Alligator mississippiensis: one gene and its partners. The protein of the gene in region 1 binds, or shares a complex with, the protein of each later gene. Links are inferred from orthologs where the notes say so. Each region holds a gene or a part of one and is shown in the gene's direction. Other genes may lie near its edges.

What was found.
Region 2: the proteins of NRIP1 (region 1) and RORA are in contact, whole or in part, in a crystal structure (PDB 4S15), measured with the Homo sapiens proteins. The link is inferred for Alligator mississippiensis from reciprocal best matches to the Homo sapiens genes NRIP1 and RORA. Residues at the interface, in NP_001426204.1 of Homo sapiens: Thr499, Leu500, Leu501, Gln502, Leu504, Leu505, His507; in NP_599023.1 of Homo sapiens: Gln332, Val335, Lys339, Phe344, Met345, Gln349, Gln352, Ile353, Leu356, Pro505, Leu506, Glu509, Leu510.
Region 3: the proteins of NRIP1 (region 1) and ESRRG are in contact, whole or in part, in a crystal structure (PDB 2GPP), measured with the Homo sapiens proteins. The link is inferred for Alligator mississippiensis from reciprocal best matches to the Homo sapiens genes NRIP1 and ESRRG. Residues at the interface, in NP_001426204.1 of Homo sapiens: Ser378, Leu379, Leu380, Leu381, Leu383, Leu384, Lys385, Ser386, Gln387; in NP_001429.2 of Homo sapiens: Val277, Ile280, Lys284, Phe289, Leu294, Gln297, Met298, Leu301, Gln302, Lys448, Leu449, Glu452, Met453.

Annotation. Positions count from the first base shown.
Region 1 is NC_081824.1:278,940,018-278,948,160, reverse strand, and holds the start of NRIP1 (nuclear receptor-interacting protein 1), read left to right. Parts: upstream 1-5,032; 5' UTR 5,033-5,410; intron 5,411-8,143. UniProt on the Homo sapiens protein: Modulates transcriptional activation by steroid receptors such as NR3C1, NR3C2 and ESR1. Also modulates transcriptional repression by nuclear hormone receptors.
Region 2 is NC_081834.1:33,281,029-33,288,774, forward strand, and holds the start of RORA (nuclear receptor ROR-alpha), read left to right. Parts: upstream 1-4,463; 5' UTR 4,464-4,549; coding exon 4,550-4,727; intron 4,728-7,746. UniProt on the Homo sapiens protein: Nuclear receptor that binds DNA as a monomer to ROR response elements (RORE) containing a single core motif half-site 5'-AGGTCA-3' preceded by a short A-T-rich sequence.
Region 3 is NC_081824.1:186,319,243-186,327,015, forward strand, and holds the start of ESRRG (estrogen-related receptor gamma), read left to right. Parts: upstream 1-4,490; 5' UTR 4,491-4,620; coding exon 4,621-4,727; intron 4,728-7,773. UniProt on the Homo sapiens protein: Orphan receptor that acts as a transcription activator in the absence of bound ligand. Binds specifically to an estrogen response element and activates reporter genes controlled by estrogen response elements.

The DNA of each region.
Region 1 (8,143 bases):
GGATTATCCAGATCAGATGATAGCCAGTCAAGAAAGCTGATGCTGTGAAACAATGGCATTGTGCTGTGAGCCACTGCTAACTGTTTAGTCTAACAGAGGGTCAAATACTTCAACTCCTATTCAGTTTATTCTTGCTGAACTGAATGAGTGACAGCTTTACCTGAGAAAATTCTGAGGAAAAACAGTGTAGAGGTGGCTACATAAGATTACAGGTGCAGATGCACAGAGATGCGACAACTCCATTCTCAGTTCTTCAATACCATTGATCCATTGAGTAACAAGAGCATTTTCATGTAGACTCTTATACATACCAGATTGGGGCTTTCTGATGTCATCTTTGAAACCAGTGACACTGGACTGTTTAACTTTTTGGGTCTGACTTCATACTATTAATGCTAATGACTCATCAGTTCATGGTCATATTCTTGAAAGAACAATTTTCAGGACTTTTTCTGAGAGAGTTCTGAGAATTTTTACATTTGAGTAGTTTTCAGATAGTGGTTATGTCCTTATAGCTAAAGGTACTGAAAAATATGTTACTGTATTTTAATGTTAGTTAATGAAGAAGCATCAGATATATGTTTATAAAGCTGTTTGCTTCTTGCATGAAGGATATTGCAGAAGTTCAGTGTGCTGTTATTTCTTAGTTCCTGCCATAAAACATAAGGCCATAATGACAGTTCTTATTCATGATCGATATATACTCATGTACATGCATGTGCATGCACACACACAGACGCAAATACAGTAAGCCCTAATGTATGCCTGAGAACAGGTACAGTATACTGGAGGTATGGTTAAAACCAGCCAGATGCTGCAAACATATAATGTCTCCATTAGAGTGTATAAGGTACAACTGGCTTCACAAGTTTTTGTAACTGAAACAGCTGCTTATTACTCTTAGATCAAATAGTCGTATCTGAAGTCTACTTTTTAATAAAGGAGATTGCTCTAAAAAATTTATAGTGAAAAATATTTTTAGAGCAGGTCATCAAGCTGAAAAGAATTGCAATTTAAAAAACATACAAGAATGTGAAATGAGAGACAGAATACATAGGAAAGAACTTGTGGTGCTGAGGGTACTTGTGGAATCACCTTGTTCATGCTTGTAAAAAGAAGTGAAAATATAACTTAGACATGAAAACCCTATAAATACACAAATAATTTTCTCATGTTTTCTAACATGTAGACAGTGACATTTTCATTTTGTATCAGACTTATTCTTCCAGTTATAGCAGAATGGTCCCTATTTATTTCAGTTAAGTCTAAATATTTCTTCTTACTAATTAGAAGCCAGACACTTCAAACTTTCTTTATTAGAGTTGTAGAGGAGCCACGCGTGACTATCATCTATGTAGGCAAAACTTCAGTTAAATCAATGCCTCAATAAATAAGAAATGTCACTGTGATTTTTGTTCGAGTAAGGGCTACAATACTAGGTTATTTGCTTCTCTGTAAAGGGACCTTCCACACAGTGGGTACAATTGTGCTGAGTCAAGGATGTAATTTTGGATTTGTTCATGTAATCCTGACAAAAAAAAAATTGGAATAAGATTTAGTGTATATATACATATTTCTGTGAAATCACTGATCTTTCCAAACATGTCCCAAGTATACTGTATTCTGACAGGTTTCCATATGGCCCTACTTATTCTGATTGAAAAGGTAGTTTGAAAGCTGTTCATAGTTTCATAATAGAGACCCTACAAAAAAAAATAAAAGTGAGACCCTCAAAGTAGTCAGGGGGGCCCTTTGCATAGCTCATGTAGAAAAAAAATACTATCCCTTTTTGCATTTGATTTCAGATATGGACTTTCTTTTTGTATCTTGAACTGTATTGTAGATTTGTTTACCATGTATGAAATTTCATTAATCATCAAGGTGATTAAACAGATAGTTATGCAAAAATCAACAGTATCTTCAACTCATTTCAAATATAGTCAAATAGAAAGATCAAATATGTGCTTCAGACACTTAAAAAGATGATGCATTTTGATTTTTGTCTGCATTAGTAATAAGAAGGCATGTTTTGTTTTTTACTTTTGTAATGTGTATGTTAAAATGACTCCAATTTGATCAAATATGAGTTTATACTTCAGAAATATTAAGCTCAGTACAATAACTTTCCAGTAAGTGCTTACAATTCTGGGAATCAATTCAAAAGTAACTTCTATGAATTTATATTTTTTTAAAGAGCAATCCAAAAGTAGTCTGATTTGAAGCTGTCAAAAGCAGTTTTGAACTCAGAAGTGAATTAACACAATGAAAAGTCCCTGAAGCAAATATTGAAAAACTACCCTGGTTGCTGGTAAGAAAACAATGATTTTACATTATCCATATGTGATGGATAGAAATGTCCTTTATCTGTGCCGGGGCATTGATCACACATTTAACTTTGGTTGAAAACCTTCTACATGAAAAACCAAAAAATAACTGCCAACAGTATGATACAATCAGGTGGACTGATTTAAAAAAAAAAAGTTGAAGTGTGGGCTAGATTCTTACAGTAAATACTAATTCTTCCACCCTACTTGTGTGAATTTGTATCTAACTTGGTAAATAGTGCCATTTCAACTGTCTGATGGAAAGTCTACGTAAGCAAACAGAACACAGCCCTATATAAATATATATTGAATATGGAAAATAAATGGATCAGTCCATAAGTGTCATTATTTGTAACTATTTCTGCTGATTGTACCAAAAATACATTTTCCAAGCTATGTTTCCAAGCTATTCATGTCTTGCTTTTAAACATATGAAATAATTGTTCATATGCACAATCATTCCATGACTTGTCCAAGATTCCTTATTTTGTAGGTCTCTTGTCTGGGCAAGATATTCCCTCAGGTTAAGAATGAAAGAGGTGTATACTACAGACATACTTGATTGAAATAGCTGCTAAATTGCTGCAGTAATGAGAAAATTCCCTTTCCCTGGATAATTCAGCTGCTTCGCATTGAAGCATTTTTCAGATAAAGAAGTTCAGTGAAATTAAAAATTAAAGAGAATTTCTTTCAAATCACATATTGCCAGTTACATACCCCTACTCCCATTGAATTCAGCAGCAAAACTCTTATGCATTTGAATGGAAACATGGTGAGGCCATAAAATCAGTTTTTGCTATAAAATAAGAGACTGGTTTATACACGCATTTGGATGTGCAAATGCTGATGTACATCTGAAAAAAATGTGGTTAAAAAAAAACACATGATGATGATGAAGTTCACCTAAATCTTTCATTGGCTTAGAAAATAGGTCAAGTCATTGCTTGCTAGCTCTCTGCTGGTAGCCAGTGCAGTCTCTCTATTCCAGAGTAGAAGAGATTTTGCTTGATATTGGAACATCAACTTTCATTCATAAGGTCTGTTGATTGCAAAGCTTGGCTTTCAGCAGTTTTTAACTGAAATTCATGTATTATTTGTGTAATTACATTATTGCCTGTGTCTTTTCATTTAAGACTGTACTATAACATACTCACAGCTGTTTTGAACTTTTAAATGTTTTAGTATGCTTTATTTCTAGAATTTTTTAATGCTTTCTTGATGGCCACTTGTTTGTATGCAGTTGCGAATATATATACACACATTTCTCAGTTAATATTTAAGAAAGGATAAAGTAAGCATTACTAACTGTTGCTTAGAATTCAGTTGCTGCATACATAAAGCTCTGTATTTATCAACTCATTTGTTATGTTTGTGGGATGTTTTAATGCAGGCATTGCATCTATGAATGAGATGTGACCAAGCTCGCACAATTTTGTGTATATGCAAAAAAATGCGGCAGCATATCTACAGCCTTCCAACTTTTTTTTTTTTTTGATAGAACGGCATTAAAGTTCTTGTTTTAAGAGAAATCGGGTATTAGATCGCAGTTCCTCAGGACAATTATTAGGTTTTCTTCATATAGGTGGAGATAGCTATTAGTAAAGTAGGGCTGTGATCCTGTTTGGGGCCTCCCTCTGTTACAATGATATTTCCCTCTCATAATCATTATTTAATATTAATTGATATAGGTGTAAATAACATAGCTTTGGTAAGACACTAGGTCTAATTGGGAAGGCACTTCTCTGTGCGCAAATGGGGGAAGCCACAGTGAAGAAGTGTGTGCACATTGGTGAGGAAGCATAAAGCAGCATGTAAGTTTGGGAACTTGAGTAGACAGGAATAAATGTTAAGTCTTTGCATTATCCATAAGAATTAAACTGAAGGCTTTGCTCAGACTAAGCTTGGTGAAGTTAGAACTGGAAGCTGCAAATCCAAGGATATTAACACAAGTTTTGTACCATGGTGGAAATCAGCAGGAATTGGGGAAAGGATGACTGCTTCCCTGCCTCCTTCACTGACTTATGAAAATGTAGCGAGCCCTGCAATATTTTTGCTTTTCTTCACCCCACCAGCTCCTATTGTATGGGTTTATGAGGCGTTTGGCTTTCTCGCTTTAAAAATAAGTTTCTGGCTTTTGTGCTTCATACCAATATGAGCCTTAAAATGAAAACAACAAACAAGCAACCCCTCCCCCCCACCAAAAAATAAAAAAATCAAAGGACAAAGATAAAGAACCTGATATATACAACTCTCCCTGTCTAATTACTTATCTACTTTACTTTGCTTCGTTTCTTTTTCTTCCTTCTACCTACTTTTCTTTCTGTCTCTTTTCTTCTTTCTTTTTTTGTCTTCCTCTTTTTCTCTTTCTTTCCTTCTCTCTCTCTTTTCCTGTTTCTTTCTCTCTCTCTTTTCTTTCCGTTGCCTGTCCGTCTTTCCTTCCTCCTAGCTATCTATCTGCCCTATGAAATCATCTCTCTCATGTCACGATTTTGAAGGCACCCTCTGCCGGGGGGGGGCCGGCCCTGCCGCCCACTCGTAGTCGAGAGAGCCAAAGGCGCCTGCCCCCGCCTGCCTCCCCGGCGCTGCCCGGGGCACCTATCCGCCCCCGTGGTCCCGGGCGGCGCTGGGGGCGGGGCGGGGCGGGGCGGGGCAGGAGGCGAGGGGCGGGGCCGGAGGCGGGGCCAGGGCTGCGGGTGCAGCGGCGGAGGCAGCAGCAGCAGGAGCAGGCAGGCGGGCTGCTCGTGGGCATTGCAGCACAGCTCGGCAGCCGGGGCGCGGAGGCGGCGGCGCGGGGGACGCGCCCAGGCTCGCGAGGCCGGGGGCAGGCTGCGCCCCTTGGAGCGCGGACCTAGCCCTTCCTCCCTCCCCTCGCCCGCAGCTCCTGTTCCTGCTCCGGCCCGGCCTGCGGAGGCTTGGGGCGCCGCTCGCTGCACTAGAACTAATCGCGGGGGAGGTGCGCGGGCGGCGCGGGGCGGGGCGGGGCGGAGCGGGCGATCGTCAGTCAGTCCGTCTGTCTGTCTGCGCGGGGCCGGGCCGGGGCCTCCCGCGGCCGCAGGAGCCGCCGCTGCAGCAGCCGAGCCCGGGCGGTGAGTGCCTACGCCGGGGCCACGCGGGGAGGGAGGGCGGGCGGGGCGAGAGGGCTGCCAAGTTTGCCCTCCCGGCTGGGGCAGGGTCCTTCCCGGAGGCACAGAGATCCCGCCCGCCCGCCCGCCTGCCTGCAGCCCCTCCGGCTCCCCCCGCTGCTGAGCTGGGCTCCCCGCTTCATCCCCTCTCCCCTGCTGTGGGGCTGGGAGACGCGTTCCCTCCTCCCCCCTTCCCCTTCTCCTTTCTCTTCCCAAACGTGCCTTCTCATCACTTTAAGTTCCCCAATGTGCAGCCCCCCCGGGGAGGGGGGCGGCTTCCTTCCCTCTGAAGCAGAAGGTTGGGACTTCAAGACATGCAGAAATCTACAACTCCCAGTTCGGAGACCATACCTCTTATTAGGCTAACTAGGAGATTGCCAAAATATGTATATCTTTTTGTAAGCTTTTGGGCTTGGGTGCCCTTCTGCAGGCTCAGGGTAAATTAAAGATGGTTCAGAGTCCCTGTAGGTAGGAAATAAACTTCATTTTGGCACAGAGGGAGCTGGAGATGGAAAATCAGTCCCTCTGGGTCCATGAGGGTGTCTTGGTGAGTTGTTTGAGAGGCATTTTGGTACCAGAGAATCACAGCGGAGCAGGGTGGGGTGAGGGGGGCATCTAGTGCAACCCCCTGCTCCAAGCAGGACCATCCCCAAGCTGATCAGCCCAGCCAAGGCTTTGTCTAGCTGGGACTTAAAAGCCTCTGAGGATGGAGATGCCACAGTCTTTCTGGGTAACCTGTTCCCATGCTTTACTGCCCTCCTAGTGAGAGAGTTTTTCCTCCTATCTAACCTAAACTTCCCTTGCTGGAACTTGAGACCATTGCTGCTGTCCCCAAAACCCTTCAAGGGTGACTCATCTCCCCCTCCCCCCCCCCCCCCAACCTTTGAGGGCTTATTTTTCTTTGCTCCTGGTAGGAGTTTGAACAGCACAAGCTACAGCCATGTACTTTTGGGGTTGAGGGCAAGTTGGTAGGATTTTTTTAAAAAAAAGGCTTTTGTGAGGACAGACACTTTGCTTTTTTTGTTGGCGGGGGTTACTTTTGAGTCTTTCTTTTTAGTTTAAAGTAACCATGAAAGGCTGGGAGGGCTGGACACATGTTGACAGTCTCTCAGAGCTATGGAGTTGGTGGCTTTAGGAGTGACTCGGTGCAAGGGGGGGGGGGGGGTACGGTTGGCCCATGCTGTTGGTGGGTGGAAGAGTGAGTTGATTGAACAGTATCTTTTTTCTGCCCCCACCCCTTCAGGAGTTGTGCCTGAATTGGTAGATTGTAGTAATGTTTTGAGAGCATATGTCTGCTGGGCGTTGGGTTGGGACCTCCCAGGCCACTTGGAATTGAACCGAGTCATGACAGGGGACGTTTTCAGATAAGGGATGGAGTTTGTTTATAAAAAGAGCAATCTAATCTACTAAATTTCTTGTGAGGAAAAAATAGCCTCCCTTCTGAAATGAGGCCATCTGCGCTCGCTTCCTAGTGGGTGGTACCAAGCCTGTGTCTTCATTGTTCAATTCTGAATTGCTGTTTATGGGACTTGGCACTGGAGTGCCATGTGCACACGCACACCTTCCCCCAGAGGACAAACAAAAGTTTTCTGATGTGAGAATGGCCTGCTTCTGTGGCATGTGAGAATCATCATATGGTTTTATGGCATCTGAGGAAGGGTTTCTGCAAGGGGAACAGGAATTGACCTGTCATGGTGAGCTCTCATATAGCGCACCTAAAATTTAGTACAGATATGGGTTTTCTGCTGCTGGCGCAATTTCTTTGCTCTTAAACTTCTGGTGGAGGAATCTTACTCTTTTAACCTGTCCCCATTCCCTTATGAGCGGGAACAAATACTGACTTTGAAGCAGTAGAACCAGTGGATGATGCATTTAGTATTACATATGTATGTGCAAAGGTTGTACAAGGGATTAGTGATTGTGCATTAGAAGGTGAATGGGCACCTGTCCTTCTTTTGGACTGGCCAGTTCTCCTGGATTGTTATCTGTTGGAGGTGAGATCACCTCACTTGGTCTCTTTAGATCACGAATGTGTTGAATATCAAGGGCTGTCAAATGTCCAGTGTAACCAAACTGGATAATTGTACTCCTAATGCTAAGGATGACTTGTACCTGTAGTAGGTAAATAGATTTTCAGATGAAAATGAAGTTTCTTTTTCTAGTTGCCAGGTGCTCCTTAAAAAAAAAAAAAAAAAAAATAAAGGCAGAAGTTGAAGAATAAGAGGTTTGGGGTTATTATGATAATAAAAACCATACTGTTTGAAGAAGCAGAAATGTTTTCATATGGTAAACTTCAGTGGCTGATTTGAATGTTAAATATACCACCTGCGGTATTTGTCAGCTGTTTTTTCTCTTGAATCTGTCATTCTGTACAAGACACCAAGAGGAAAAAAATGATAAAAAAGCAATGGTTCACTAAAGGTTGTCACAGAGTTCAAACCTGAGTGAACTGCAGTGCTGATCTTACTTGCTTGTAGTTTTTGCTTCATCTGAGCTTTGTTAAAAAAGACACAGGCCTGCTTGGTTATGGCTTATCACACTGCCCTTCCAGGGGGAATTCTTCTTCCTTATTTGTAAGTAGGTAATATAGCTAATTTAACCCCCCCCCTCCTTTTTATGCATTTACATTAAATAATACCAATAGAACAGTGAAAATTGGAGTGCTATTAATCCTATCTGTGACTGAGTGGGATGTGC
Region 2 (7,746 bases), on another chromosome or scaffold:
ACAACTTGGGCCAAGGATAGCCTACTCATCCTGGGGGGAGGGGTGGGTCAGGGGAGGTGCAAAGGATCCTGAGATGCTGTGGGATTGTGACTTAACTTGAATCTGGAGAGGATCTGGGACAGAAGTTCTATAAACTGATTTAAACTGATTTAAATCAGTTAAGTCTGATACTCCATCTATCCACAATGGAGTATTTATACTGCTTTATGAGTAATTTCTGTCCCTAACCATCCTCTGTTTCAAAACACCTAGGGGATACTTAAGCTTTCCTTGGTGGCTGACTGAAGTTGCAACTAACTTCTACTTGAGTAGTCACTGTTTTGGTCAGAAAAGATGTGGGAACACAAAGACAGTTTCATAAAAGGATTTTGGGGATACATGCTATGATTATGAGGCTGAAGGGCTCCCCACTGGCCTTGTATGTGAGGTAGTCAAGTGGGCCCAGCTGCCTGCTTGTTTTAAAGATCCATGGGTGTATACATGAGATGCTTAATGCACAGTAGACTAATTCTACTGCACATTAGCATGTAATGGGAAAAAGCTTGCTAATGTGCATTAAGTGTAACAAAAAGATCATGCACTCTTAGTACAGCGCGTTAGCCCTGGCTACTGCACATTAATGTAGTACCATATATTAGCAGTATTAAACTTAATGTGCAGTAGCAACGGCGCATTAATGTACGTGTAGATGCCCCCCCCCCCCCCAAGTAATTCTTGATAGCTGCCCAGTAAGGGAGCAGAGTTCAGCAAGAATCTATTTCCGTGATCCTGACATATTTCCTTGTGGTCCAATCCAGTATTTGCTGTGTTATGATGACTGATTCAGGAAACATAAAACTTAGGAATTACAGTTCACACTGTCTATAGCATGTCTTCGCATGATTATTTCACTGGGTTACTACTGTTCTTGTGCTAAGGGATATGGGAATACTGTTTGCATGTCAGCCAGTGATTAGATAGATTGTTAAAGACTATTTGTTTATGAATAAATCTCTGAAAGTAAGGACATCCTAGATGAAACCAATTTTCTTCAACCTCTCTGCAGACAGCTAAGGTTTGAAGGGGCAGAATTTCCCCAGAAGCCAAACAAACCAACTTGGTATTGGTGCTACTACTAAACAACTCAGGGGGATTTACAAGGAAGGTTAGGAAGGAGAGAGGAACAAAGACACCAGGTTTAGCAGAGAAGGAGGGAGAAGGGACCATGTGAACCAGCTAAGATTAAGGGAATCTAAATGGAAGGGAGTAACTCATAGTTCCAGAGAAGCCACAAAGAGAAAGGAGTTGGAATCGTGGCAGGACCAAAGTGGTTAGGAAACCAAAGCAAGAATAGCCTTGTAGGTGTTTCTTGTTTTGTCTAGATCTGTGTATTTCTTGTGTTGTCTAAAGTAAAGAATAACTGATTTTGGAATCTTTTACAAAGTTTGTTTCTAGAGGGGTAAACCATAAACTTCCTGTAAGCTGCTGTGTCTGTTGGGAAGGGTAGCATATACAGTGCATAAATAAACAAACAAACAACAGTATCCACGCTCTTCGAGATTTCCGGATATGAGTAAGCAGCTAGGGGCTTGTAAGGGTTCAGCACTTATCCTGTGGAACTAGGACAGTCAGCTGCAAGGTACTACTTCACTATAGACATACCAGCCGTAGGGGTTCATCTCCATTATTTAAAACAACAGTGTTGTTTCTCAAGCAATGAATTCAGGTTCTCCAGAGGTTTTTCTCTCTATTTTGACATAAGGTAGAGCTGTTTTGTCTGCTTGTTGCGTGGGTGCTGTTGAAACACTCCAGTAAATCGATGTTGCCCTTTGAGATGTATTACTTGAGGCTCTAGCTCTACCTTAGCTATTCCTTACTGCTCCTGAGTTATGGAGAGGAGAGGTTGTTGGGAGACTTAGTTTTAATTCTCTCTTCTGCATGGATTCAAATCCCTGCTACAAACACATGTACTTTCTCTTTTTTTTCTTATATTATTTTTATCTTTTGAATACACTCTCATTTTTAAAAACAAACTCTTGTCCATTGCCCTGTCAGAGCCTTTGTTGTCTCTCTCTCTCCTTTTTTCCTAGCAAAATGGGGGAAATAGTTTTAAAAATCTGTTCAGTTTTGCAAGCAGGAACACCCACCCCTCCTCTCCGGTCCCCAACAAATTATTATGCACAATTAAGGTTAGGACATGAAATCTCTGTAGACCTTTGGAAGTGCAGAGAGAAAAACAACAACAAAGGTAAACCTCGGATCATTCAAAGCATCTGGAATTCCAGAAGCATCAGGTCCTGCGCATATTCACATGAGCGAGCCTTTCTCCTGCAAGTAGTTCCATTGTTCCTAATGCTTGTGAAAGGCATTGGTTTGACAGCCTTGGGGAATGAAGTCCTCTTTTTATTAACCGGGCAAGCTTCCCAACACATGCTGCCTGGTCAGCCTGCCTCAATCCAGATCTGGGAGGAGGGGAAGAATTCTCTAAGGGTAACCAGGAGTTCAGTTTCTAAGGCTTATATAGTTCTTGGCCTCTCTTCTGAGTTTGCCAGTTATTGAAAAGCAAAGGAAAGTGTTTGTGAGGCAAAGAACTGCAACTCAAATCCACCAATCTCACATCAGAGGAGTCACTTAATGTCTCAGCCTACACTGAGAGGACTTCAAACTGATGGTAGGGGTGAAGAGCTTTGGGGCCTTTTGTAGCAGTAACTTGGGACATCTGTTCCCCAAGTACCTGAACGTTTAGCCTGAATACTATTTTCTATTCAAAGCCATAACTACTAAATCAAATTCTGACCTTCTGGAAGTTACAGTGTCTGATTATAAAGGAAAAATCTTTTAATGCTGCTTTCAATCTCCTACTAATACATTCTATCATCTATGATTCACACAGCCACACTGTATTTATGCATTGGGATAGTAATTATTTGATCATTTTTTCCTACATAGACAGTTGGTACCCAGAATACTTTTTTGCACTTGAGAGAAAGGTACAAATAATGGCACAGCAGGATATTATACAATTTATGGACCAGCCCTTAGAGACAAATGTAACAGTTGGTGTGTTTCACAACTATGTGTTACATGGCAGTGAAATGCTGGCTGTTGGGATGACTAGATTTTCTTCCTACCCCAGATGCAGAGTGTGATCTAGTCATTAAACAATGCTTACAGGTTGGTAGCTAGGCACGCAGGTTTGGTGCATTCAGTTTGTAAGACTTTCCAGCTATTAAATTAGAGGTGTATGTTCTGATTCCAGCTCTTTCTAATGTGATCTTGTGAAACTTCTGTTACCTTGTAATAAAATAGAATGAGCGATATCTGCTTCCTGCAGTGGCAGATAGAGAACAGGTGCAGTGACACAATTGCATCCCTGGTTATGTTGCACATGAGCTCTGCGTGGCATCTGCCTGGAGCCTCTGCTTTCACAGCGTCCAGGGGTGCAGCACTGCCACCCATCCCCTCCTTTCCCCTTCTGCTGCATTCAGCAGGGATGGGGAGGAGAGGGGGAAGGAGAGAAAGGGCAAACAGTAGCAGCATTCAGCCCTTGGGCTCTGAAGCCTGGCAAAATCAGAGGCTCTGGCCAGACTAAGCACTGAGCTTAGAGCTTACTGCACATGCATGGCACAGCCAAAGTAGAGGGCTGCACCTCCCATGTCCTTTTCCTGGGTCCACTACTGGCTTTCAGTTACCTGCTTTCTGGGATAGGGCTAGGAGACCTAGATCTGTAAAATCAGTCAGGAATATTTCAATCAGAGAGCCCAAGGTCTTCTGGCTCCCAGCACAGCGCACCTTCCCCTAGGCCAAAGGCGACATCATTGGAGAGGGCCTTGCAGACCATCCTCCAACCTGGTGTCAGATTTTGCCGGCTCAGGGCTCACAGGGCAGCTGAGCGGTGACACCCAGTGGGTCAGGCACCCCTGCTGCTTGCACAGTACCGCTGCACAGGAAAGCTGTGTTCGCCCCTGTGGTGCTTCTTTTTAGCCAGGGGTCAGGATCAGGTGACCCCAAGGAAGGGGCCCCACAAAGACTTCCCTCTGCTAGTGCGAGGCAGGGGTGGCGGAGGACCCTTCCCCCATCCCCTTGCTTTGCCCCCTCTTCCCTAGCCTCCTCCGCACACCCTGCGCTTGCCAAGGGGAGGCTGCCAGAGCCCTTCTCGCTGCCGTGGAAAGGCCGTGGCCGGGTCCCTCCCTCACGTCCTGCTGCCGTCACCTGCCCGAGCAGAGGTCCGAGGGGCAGTAGCACAGCCGGCTTCCCCCGCGGCTCTGGCTTGCCCACCCCCGAGCCGGGAGTCCGTCCCCGGCAGCCCCTCCGTGCCCGTGTCGGGGCAGCCCGGGCGGCGGGTCGGTGCCGGGAGCCGCTCCCCCTGCCCCGGGCAGCTGCGGAGGGAGCGGGGGGGGCGAGGAGCTCTCGCTAGCGCTGCTTGTGGTCACAGCCAGACACGCTCGCATCCCATCTGGATCAGACTCGCTCTCTCCCTTCTGCCTCCTACCATAGAGTCGCGCTGGAAACAGAAGATAGAGGGAGTGTAGGAGCTCGCCATCTCCAAGCGATCTACATTGGGAAAAACATGGAGTCCGCTCCGGCAGCCCCCGACCCAGCCGCCAGCGAGCCGGGCAGCAGCGTCTCCGAGGCGGCCCCCGGCGCCAGGGACCCCGCGGCCAGCCTGGAGCCGTCGCGGAAAGGCGAGGCGCCGGCCCCCGCGCGCAGGCAGAGCTACTCCAGCGGCGGCGGCGGCGGCGGCAGAGGTAAGGCAGCCGGGGCGGAGGGCGGGGGGCGGCCGCGCACGGACGGGCCCCCGGCACCGCGCAAACTTTTCCAGCTGCTGCGAGCAGGAGGTGAGGGGCGCCGGGGCCGCGCCGGCGGGAGCCGGGGACCAGGGAAACTAACTTTGCGAGCCGCCGGGCTGCCCTCGGAGCCGGGGCGGGCGAGCGCCTGTGCCCCGGGCGCGGGCTGCCGGGGCCGGGGCGGCTCCCCCCGCGCCCGCCCGCCCGCCCGCCCGCCCGCACGCCCGCCGGCGAGGCGAGCCCTGGCGGCGCGGGGCCGGCCGAGTGTCGCGCGGGCGAGGCGGGGACCGGCGGGCTGGAGGCGGGGCTGCACGCGCCCGGTGCGCGGCGCTGCCGCTTGTGCACACCTGGAGCTGCGCGCGGCGTGTGCACGGCCGCCACGGCGCTGCTGCCGCGGAGGAAATACGCGGGCGAGCGGCTGCAATCGCGCCGGGGGGCGCCGGCGGGGAGCGGCCCCCTCCCGCCGCCTGGCTGGGGCTGTCGGCGGAATATGGCTGATGATGTGCCGCCCTGTGTTTTACAGTATTTTCCCCGTTTTGGCCACACCCCCCTTCCAGGCGGCTTCCCACTCCGGGCGCGCAGTACAGTAGAGCCCGCCGCGGCCTCCCGCGACAGCCGGTGCCGAGCCGGGGCCGCGGGGAGACGGTGGCGGGGCCGTGCCAGCCGCTTATGTAACGAGGTTAATGAGAAACACTGGAGAAAATTGCTTTCACATGCCGAGGGCTTTCCCGCCCGGCGCGGGACGCGGGGTGTTACACAACCTCGAGCCCTGGTCCAGCCCCGCTCTGCCGCGGGCTGGGCTGGGATGGGCGCCGGCACTGCACGGCACGGCACGGCACCGCACCGCACCGGGGGGCGGCCTGGGCTGGCATCTTCCCTAGCTTTTACATCCCCCCGGTCAGGGGAGGGCAGGGGTGGCGGCGGCAATTGATACATAGGAAGGTGTGTGTGTGTTGGGGGTGATTTGCATTTCCAATTTGGAGGGCGACCCGACTGGCTTCGGCTTTGATACTGGTAACCTGCTGACCCACATGTCCCTCCTCCCCCTGGGATTCAATAGGAGGGGAGTTCAAGGCGCACACACTGCACGCAAGCACCGGGTTATGTAACAGTGGGAATGAGGGGAAAACAAAACCAAACCAAACCCCGAAGGTCAGTGATGGAGGCAGCCTTGGCAAGCAGCAGAAGCTCCTGGAAATTGTCTCTTTCCAGTCTTTTAACATCAGCCCGAGTTTGTTCTTTTCCAGGGCAATCAGCTGTGCACTGAGAAGGGGGGAGGATTGGGGGGGAAAAAAAGGAGATGTTTTGGGTTTTCAGATGATGTAATGAGCCTGGCAGAAAATACAAGTCTGCTCCTGGAGCGCAAACACTGAGCAAATTGGAGCTGGCACTCAGTAGTAATATTGCATAAATGACAGTATTGGAAACAAATTGACCAAGGCACTAGGTGATCATGCCTTTCTAACCTTTAAAACATGAAGGTCGGGAACTGTAGGAAAACAGCATAGGCTTGTCATTAACCTGTTTAGTCTGGTTGAAAGCAGGACTCGGATGGAGATTTGGGTGAAAATGACTCCCTTGTCGTTTTTCTTCTTTGAAGTTCACTTCAGGCCCTTTTTTTAAATATGCAGAGAATAAGTAGAATGTGGGATTTCCTTTGATATTGGGCTGACCTGACGGTGCACAAATAGTATAGGTATAAGTGCAAGGGAAAAGAAGAATCTTTATAACGGAGACATTTAGGATCATGTGTTGGTGTGTTTGTTCAGGCCATAAGCTGATCTTAGGTCCTGACTCTTTAACTTGTGCCAGCCAGTCCAAGACACTCTTGCAAATGAGGATGTAGGATTGTTATTCATGAAGGTATTTGTAGATTTTTAAATCAATGAAGTTATTAAGACAACAGACATACCTGTTTTGTATACATTTATTTTAATAGCTGCTACTCCTGCAAAAGTGCTTGATGCCCCAGAGCTAAACTGGTTGTATAAACTGAAGTAATGGAGAAAATAAAAGTTTGAAGGAATGAGACTTACAAAGGAAAGACTATGTTCTTAATTGCAGTTTTAAATACTATAACATTCACAATTTGAAATATTTTGTTTTTAGATACCATAAATGTATCTGATGTGCCCTGAATAGCTTTATTTCTTCATTTGTTTTTTCAAAACTGTGCTAATGGATGGGAATATATAATATATTTTTCAATTATTAAAAAAAACTTTTAAAAAGAATTATTGTTATGTAAACTACCTATGGCCTGGTACTGAAGCCTCTAGTGGAAAAGTGATGACACAGGAGACTGAAAAAGTGGCCAACAGTCAGCTGAAAAAGACAGGCAGTTTTCCCAAATAAAGATGTTACCACCTACACTAGTTATTCATTTACCCAAGAGTAGTCATTTTCCAGTAGGTTAAATGCTGATCCATATATGTTTCTTGGTTGAGGTTCTCGGATGTTTTTACAATGCACTTCATGTATTACTAAAGAAAGGGTTTTACCCTGCTTCCTAACCCTTATTGAGAATTGCATTTCCTTCCATTTGCAGTCACTTAATATTCTTGGGGTAACTATGACGGATGCTTCCATGGCAAAGCAGAAGTGGTAGAGTTTAATTGGTATTAAAAACATTACAAATTGAGTTGGGGGGTGGGGGAGAGGAGCCAGTATGTTTGTTTTCTTTGTTCTACAGTTAGATGAGACCAGTGAACAAAATAGTCTCTGTTCTGGCTGTTACTCTGATTCCTTCAAGGTGAATAAGTAGGGAAAAAAATAAGCCCAGACGTCTTTCCTAATGATGAGGTGGGTCTGAAATATGTTTTAATGCATGCTCTCATTCATATCCCCCAGTGAATTTCCCTAAACTACCAGTTTAGGAAAGTTTCAAATTTTAAGGACAGCATTTGTATTGCTGGAGGACATTGTACTTAATGTTTTTTGTGATATTCATTATATTTTTATAAACAGAAATCTGCAGGCA
Region 3 (7,773 bases), about 93 Mb from region 1:
GGAAGCTTCTCTGTAGGAACAGACTCTCCTGAGCTCACACAAGGAAATGATAATTGTAATGGGACTGTGCTGACTCTGTGGGGCCTGTGGGGGATCTATCTGGCCAGGTCTAGTTGCGGGATCAGGACCTTGTTAGCAAGGTAGCGGAAATAGGTGTTGCCATACATAGATGTAGGACCCATACACAACTTACAAAGTTTCTCTCTTAGTTTCTTTATCAGTTTGTCATGGAATACTGGATGGAACGAAAGGTTCTGGCCCTAATCTTCTAAACCCTCTTTTAATTGGACCTGGATTAATTCAGGGCTACCTCTTCTGCTCTGAGATCAGTATACGTTTTCTAGAGCAAGTACTTTTATCTACAGAAATCAGGTACTGTGGGAAATAGAGCTTTTCTTAGGAAATCAGAATAACTACAGCTCTTAAGATCTTCCAGATGAAATTAAAAACATCATTTTTTTTTAGATTACTCATGATAATGGATATAGTTATAAATTACAAGCAGTATACTGTATATATATTTTAAATTAAGGTGCCACATTTGGAAAGAGGGGGAGGCTCTGGATTCAAGATGTTAAAACTATATCTTGCATTTTTGTAATATTGAAAAATGCTCATAGAACCTTTGAATTACTCTGGTGTAGAAAATGATACAATATTTCTTCCTGTGTCCTGTTGTCTGTCTCTTTTTCTCTCTCAATCTATCTAGTCTGATTTTTCCTTTCCATTTTAATTTCTCCCTTCTCTTTAATTAAGTTCACCCAAAGCCACAGGATCTTGGAGAGCTTTCCAAATAATTAGATCTTGTTGCTTGTTTGCAATGTATTCCAAACTCTATTATATTATCTTTTGTTTTACTCTTGTTTTATCTGTGCTTTAGAATAGCATGCCATTTGGGATATTGTTAACCATACATACACTTTATGCGGTCCTAGCTCATTTCATTCTCCCTTTAATATGTATTTATTCCTTATGACATTTTTAATAATGAGTGTTATGTTACCTTTCTGTTGTTGTTGTTGCTGTCTGTCTCCCATGACAATGTCGTGATATACCCACTTTCTCAATATATCTATATATATTTCTGTTTTCTTTCCATAGGGCAAAATATGTGGTAGGAGCTCTCAGCCAGTGAAAAGGCCTAATTCTGATCTCATTTACTATTTTCTAGTGTGCGCCAGGGATAATTCCACTGAAATCAGTGGAATACTGTTAGTATAAAAGATTTAGATTAAGATCAGAATCAACCCTTAAATGTTAATTTGTTAAATCTTTGGACTTATACAGCATCAGTTGTATGGAGCATATGCTAGTAGATGCTCATGTTTGAAGTGATGATTCATAGCTAATCGTTATAAGAAATAGGCTTGCCACTTCATAAACTCTAGGAAAGACTGTTTTCTTTTCCAAACATTTAAATTACTCAGCCGTTTTATGCATTAAAACCCAATTATAACTTACAGAGTATTTCAGAGATTTTTGAAAGCTATTTCCTTGAGGAACTGTGCCTAGACCTGCATTTTATCACTGAGGAGTTCTTGCACTCAAATACAGCTTTATTTTTTTAACAGAACAGTGCTTGAAAAACAGCAAGACACTTGACCAGACATCAGGTATTGCCCTGTAACACTGAAGTTCTTGATAAATCTAACAAAAAAACCATACTTCGTCATTTTAAAGGGTGAAATTGTATTCTTAGATCAACATGTGTTTATCTTTTTACAAAAATGATCTTTTGTGGGTTGAAACAGAAATTTATTCTACTCAGGACCGGTTTTACTTTTGTGACAGTTTAGAGACCTACTGTGGTTAGGCTTTTGCTACAGTTGAGAACACCCCTCCCCTGCCCCATCCTTCTGGTGCCCCTCCCTTTAGGTGGTGTCTGGGGCATGTGCCACTTTCGCTCACCTCATGTTACATTACTGATTCAAGCAGTTTCAACCGTTCTCTAGTCAGTTAGTTAACTGAAGTCTGAAAACCCACGTAAAATACACCCATGCTACCACTAACCCCACTTTATGCTATTTAAAGAATAACAGCTTCCTTTAACCAGCGCTGTGAAATCTCAGGACACCTAAATCACCTGCAAAATATAATTTGCCTCCTTTTGAAATTGCAACAATTAGGGGCATGCAAAGGATTTTTCACTGAGCTTCCTTAAGCATTTTTAACACTGCATATGGTGAACAAATCCAGAATGAAATTTCTTATCTGTGCTTTGAGAAGGGGTTCTAGTATTATGTAGAATGAAGTATACCTGCTGTTGAATTGAAAGGTGTGTCTCAAACATCTGCTTTTTAGCTGTCACATACTTGTACTCATGGGCAAGGGACAGAAGTTACACATTAACCAGTTTAAGTGATCAGAAACCGGTTTAAACCTGTAACAGAACAGAAAGTCAGTGCACATAAACCACTTTCAAAATGGCTGAAGCTGGTTTAAGATGAACCTGGTTTAATGCAGTATCAGACTTAACTGATTTAGGTCAAACCAGTTTATGGAACTTCTGTCCCAGACCCCTTCCTGGTTCAAGTTAAGTCACAGTCCCCCAGCATCCCAGGATGCTTTGCAGCCCTGGGCTGAGCTGTTCTGTCTGCTCCCTAGCCAGAGCACTATTACTGCTCTGGCTAGCTGAGAAGGGGGTGGGGGTGGAAAAATCTGGCTTCAGAAGGCAGCCGGGTCTCCCTGCAAGGGCTGGAGCAGCCCCTGCCAGACTTTTCTCCCACTCGCCACTGGAGTGGTGAAAGGGCAGGTGGCCTGACCCTGCGGCCAAGCAGGCAGAATGAGGCAGAGGGGGAGAGGGAGCTCCAGGCCCTGCCAGGCAGTTCTGCGCTTGAGCGGAGGAGGTGGGGGCATGGCCAAATGCTGGCCGCAGGCTACATCCTGAAGCAGGGAGGAGGAAGAGGGTGTTTAAACCCCTCTCCTTCTCTCAGCCTGGGCCTCCTGGGTTGAGGGAGGGAACGGGGTTTAAATCCCCTCTCCCTTCCCTCTGCTTCAGGGTGCCAGCCCAGGGCTGGCATCTGGCCACACCTGTGCCCCTTCCACTCAAGCGAGGCGCAGGGAAAAGCCAGATGGGGGCTGCTGCGCCCCTGCCAGGCAGACCCAGGCTGAAGGAGGGAGAGGGCTTTGAACCCCTGTCCCTCCCCTCTGCTTCAGCATGCGGCTCAGGGACAGCATCTGGCCATGCCTCCACCCCCTCCACTCGAGCCGGGCGTGGGGAAAAGCCTGGAAGTGGCTGCTGTGCCCCTGCCAGGCAGACCCCTGCTGGGGTCCCGTGCAGGCAAGGGAATTTAAACCCACCCCCCTCTTCCCTCTCAGCATGCTGGCCTGGGCCAGGGTCCAGCCACACCCCCTCCTCTGCTTCAGTGGGGAGTAGGGAAAAAGCCTGGCAGGTGCTGCTTTTTCCCTCCACCCCAGGGGCATCCTGGCTGGGGTCCCTGCAGGTTTAAACCCCTCTCTATAACCATAGTCAGGCGCACCCCTGCCCACACCCCCACTCTGCTCATGCAGGGAGCAGGAAAAGCCTGGAGGGCTTTTCTCCCAGCTTCCCCCTAGCCTTCTGGCCACTGCTAAAGGGTAGGGAAGGCTGCTAGCAGCCCCCAGCTTCTAGCCTAAGTCACTGCAGGCATGTGACTGCATTTCCAGAATGTCTGTTCACTTGCTTCTTGGTTCAATCTCCGCAGCTTAGACTAACTTGCAAACATTGAATCAATTCCGCCTCAGGCCTTTTGATTGTCTGTACTTAGCCATGTGGTCTACATTCCTGGTATTCCCCAGATAAAAATTAGCCATAACCACCATGCCACAAAATCTCTACTGTTTCATACTGGAATAGAGATGATTTGTAATAGTAAACCTGATTTGACCGTGTCCAGCTAAGAAGCGGTATGATGTTTGACATATTTGAAGTATACATAAAGCAAAAATGGATATGTGGATCAGATCTTACTATTCTAAGCCAGAAAGCTCATTGTGATTTTAGCTAATGCCTGAGTTTTTGTTTGCTTGGTTTTTGTTTGCAAAGAAAATGTAAACACTTACAAATAGCTAAACACGTTAAAGTACTGCTCAGAAACTTGACTACTGACTGAACTTTGAACTTCTGAAGCTCAATAAGCTGGCCGTTTAGCCACCTTTTGGAAAAATATTTGGTAAAAGTGTAACCACCTAGACCACAGTTACCAGGAGTGAGAGGTGACCAGGAATTGTCTAGTAGGTTCACAAAACCGATGACATTTTATTTAAAGGGCCAATTTCTGTTCTCATTGATACTGCTGAAGTTCAGGAGTAATTCTGAATATTCATCTCTGATGCACACGTTGTTAAGTGAGAATATAATTTGGCTGGCTCAAAACTTTCAAATGTAGACATGGGGAGAACAACTTAGGTTAAATACAAACTGTGCTGTCATATTTTAGTAAACAAAAGTAGTGACTTACAATGTTCTAATTCCTTCTAAATTCATTTTTACAGATAGGGATGCATCAAATATCTATGAAGTTGTACCTAGGATGGCCATCCAAGAACACATGCATTCTAGAAAAGGGTAAAAAACATATAAACGTCTACAATTAAAGAAATCAGGTGTCAGAAGAAGCAGCAAGGTCTGCCCAAGGACACATGTTCATTTTTGGCACTACAGCATGCATCATGTGGGCACCAGCTGTGCCACTGCTAGTGGTGGCAGCAGAATCCCCCCAGCAACGCTACGCTGCTGCTTCACCAAGGTAGCATTGGCCCTATGACGGCCACTCTCCTTCTCTTTCTGGTGGGTAGGGAGAGGAGGGGAAGTTCAGCATTATGGGATACTGGGAACCAGGAGACCTCCTATAATGCTACGTCTAACTGTCCACACATTACCTGTAGTGATTCATAGAAGTTCCTGTGTGTAATAGGGCCATATATAGCACCACAGATGTAATGCGTATCCATGACTTGTGTTGTAGATGATGTTATTGGGCTCCAGGGTTGTCATTTTTGGGAAAGTAAAAGGGGAATAAAAATAATAATGGGGGCAGGCAGTAGCACTTCTGTTTTTCACATTTATTGTGAGTCTTGTGGAGCCCAAGTTCAGATAAGAGTCTGATGTGTTCCTTCATGCAGAGCTGTGAGACAATATGAATTATAGTTCCCAAAGATATTAAGATTTACTAAGGAAAGTCATACTTGTCAATAGCTCCTCTTGTTAGATATCTAAAGTTCAAGTGCTTGTTTGCTTTAGTTAAGTGCTTTGAAGTATTTCAAAAGGCATTGGCCCATTTATATAAACAAATAGAATAACTCACTGATAGTCTACTGTACCCAGATAGAGTGTTTTACCAAACGCTCAGAAATCCCTTGGCAGTGTCTGGAAAGGAGCTACCTTGCTGGTCTCCAGCATATTTGAATCTTCATTAAAAGAAAGTAATTTTATATGCTTGCATCGGGACAATACTTACCTTCAGACACAATTTTCACCTTGCAATAAACCATGAAGATACGAAGCAGGCATTCAAATCAGTAGCTTAGAATATTATTTACCCAGGTGACAAAGGTGATTAAAGATATCGAGAATAATCTGTAAGATTGATTTTTTCTTTTGGAATATTTCCATTACTAGCATTAGTATTTATTTGTGCCCAGACTTTTCTTTTCTCCCTTTGGCTGGAGTGAATATATTCAGGAATATATTTCATTGTTAGTAGCCATGCTTGTCTGCAAAAATAAAAGGAAATTATATATTAATAAATACTAGCTGAATCTAGTTAGTGGGTTTCAGAACTCTTTGAGCATAGTGGTATTTTTTTTCTGTTTCCCCTGATTCAGTGCTAAGAGGTCATATAGTCACAACTAAGACATTTTGGACCATCATACTTGCAAAACTCCCTTGAAATGCCTGTCCCTTAACAGAGAAAGAATTAACCAGTATTAAGGCAGACTTTTATGTTATTTGCATATTTCCCGTAACACCAGTCAATTCTACACATCATAACAACTGGGCCACACCATTATTGCTCTTTTGAGTTAGGTCCACGATAGCATTGTCCCTTTTATGATCATGAAGCTCCTTAACTCCATTGAGATTTTGCAGAAGGATAGGGAAATGTTAATAAGCAAATCTCTCATTTACACCCTCTCACACATACATGTTGGGGGCTATTTGTGGGATTTGCCTGTTCTATTGCAGGAAGATATTTACTGAACTAAAGGCAGTGAAGTGAAGGCAAGCTGAATCCTTCAAAGTTTGGTTAGCAAAAATAGAATCTCTAAGGGGCAGCAGTTTGTGGAGGTCTTTGCTCTTTGCTATTGCCCTTTGCAAAGTAGGTAATGATATTCAGAGCCACTTTGTCCCAGCAGGGCCTGATTCTCCCACTGCGGGATCCTAGTGAAGAGCTCCATGAGCTGTTCATCAAACTGTAGCTTCTCTGAACAAATAGTGCAAGGATTAGTTGTTAGACCTGGGCTGAAATGCAAAACAGAGAGCTGTCTTCATCCATTCCAAACCATGAGCAACTAACCTCTGGAATGCAAAATAATGTGAGCATAAGGACTTCACTGAATTAAGCTTTTACTGCTGAAATGGCAATCTGGATGAGATCAGTGTGTCATAATCTTGATTTGCATGTGCTTTCTTTTATGTGATCCATGGGCTGTTTGTAAGCTTCAGAGGGAGTCATAAGCCAGTGGATTTAGTGCTATTGCTAATTTAAACTGCACTTAATAAAACAGAAGTTTGAAAAATCTTACAAATCAGTGAATGTGGCATAGTTTGAAGATTACTTTTGCCAAGTTTGATCAGCTCTAAGTGAAACCTTTTCTAAATATTAGTTGTGAGATTAATCAGGCAGGGTAAGAACTTGAATTATTCCTCATCACAGGAAAACAACACAGTAAGTTATCTCTTTGTCTAGTAGGATCATAAAAACATAATTTTTGAAGATTTATGATTTATGTTGTATAAAATCAGATCAAAGGAAACACGCATTAAGCCAAAACTGTCATTTTTTGTTTTTAGTTTTTATTTCAAGATTATGTATTGTAGTTGAAGCTGGTTGCACCACCACTTGCTAAGCCTGGAAGACCCCAGGTTCAGTTGCTAATAATCCTATCAGATTTTAACTACTCCAGTTGGATTTTTCTTGGCCAGGTAATTATAGATAAAATGGTCCAGTCATTTTCACCAGTGATGTTGGGGGGGGGGAAAAAAATAGGTTTTTGCCCATGTTAAATTCATACAAGGTTTTTGTGGAGAACCTTGGTATCTCCATCCTGAACACTGACTTTAAATTTGACAGAGGGGTTGCCCTATGTTAGGAGTGAACTTTTTGTGAAAATTTGCCCATATATGGCCAAACTATAAGTCTTCCAAAAAAACCTCAGTTCACATTAGCGCAGCAATTTTTTTATAAGCGTTTAACAATTGAGTGCTCCTAAACCAGGGAGCAACAGACAATGTCATCCAGCCCATGGGCACCCACCAACTAATTATACCCCAGCTAGCCTCACTCCCACCCTCGTGTGCAGAAGGGCCCCAGCCTAGCCAGCACACAGCTTCTGGGCAGGGCTGCTGCCACTGCTGCAGCCACTGGGGGACCTGCTCGGCTTTCCTGGCCTCCAGCAGCTCCTCCTGTGTCCCTGCTGCAGTGCTTACTCCAGGCAGCAGGTAGGGAAGTGGCAGGGGGAGCTGCAGCGGGGGCAGGGAGAGGTACACCTGGGCAGGAGTGTGGACCATGGGCTGGCGGGAGCACGGAGTCTACGCTCAGGGGGGCATTGGGAATGCAGAGCTTGGGTGGG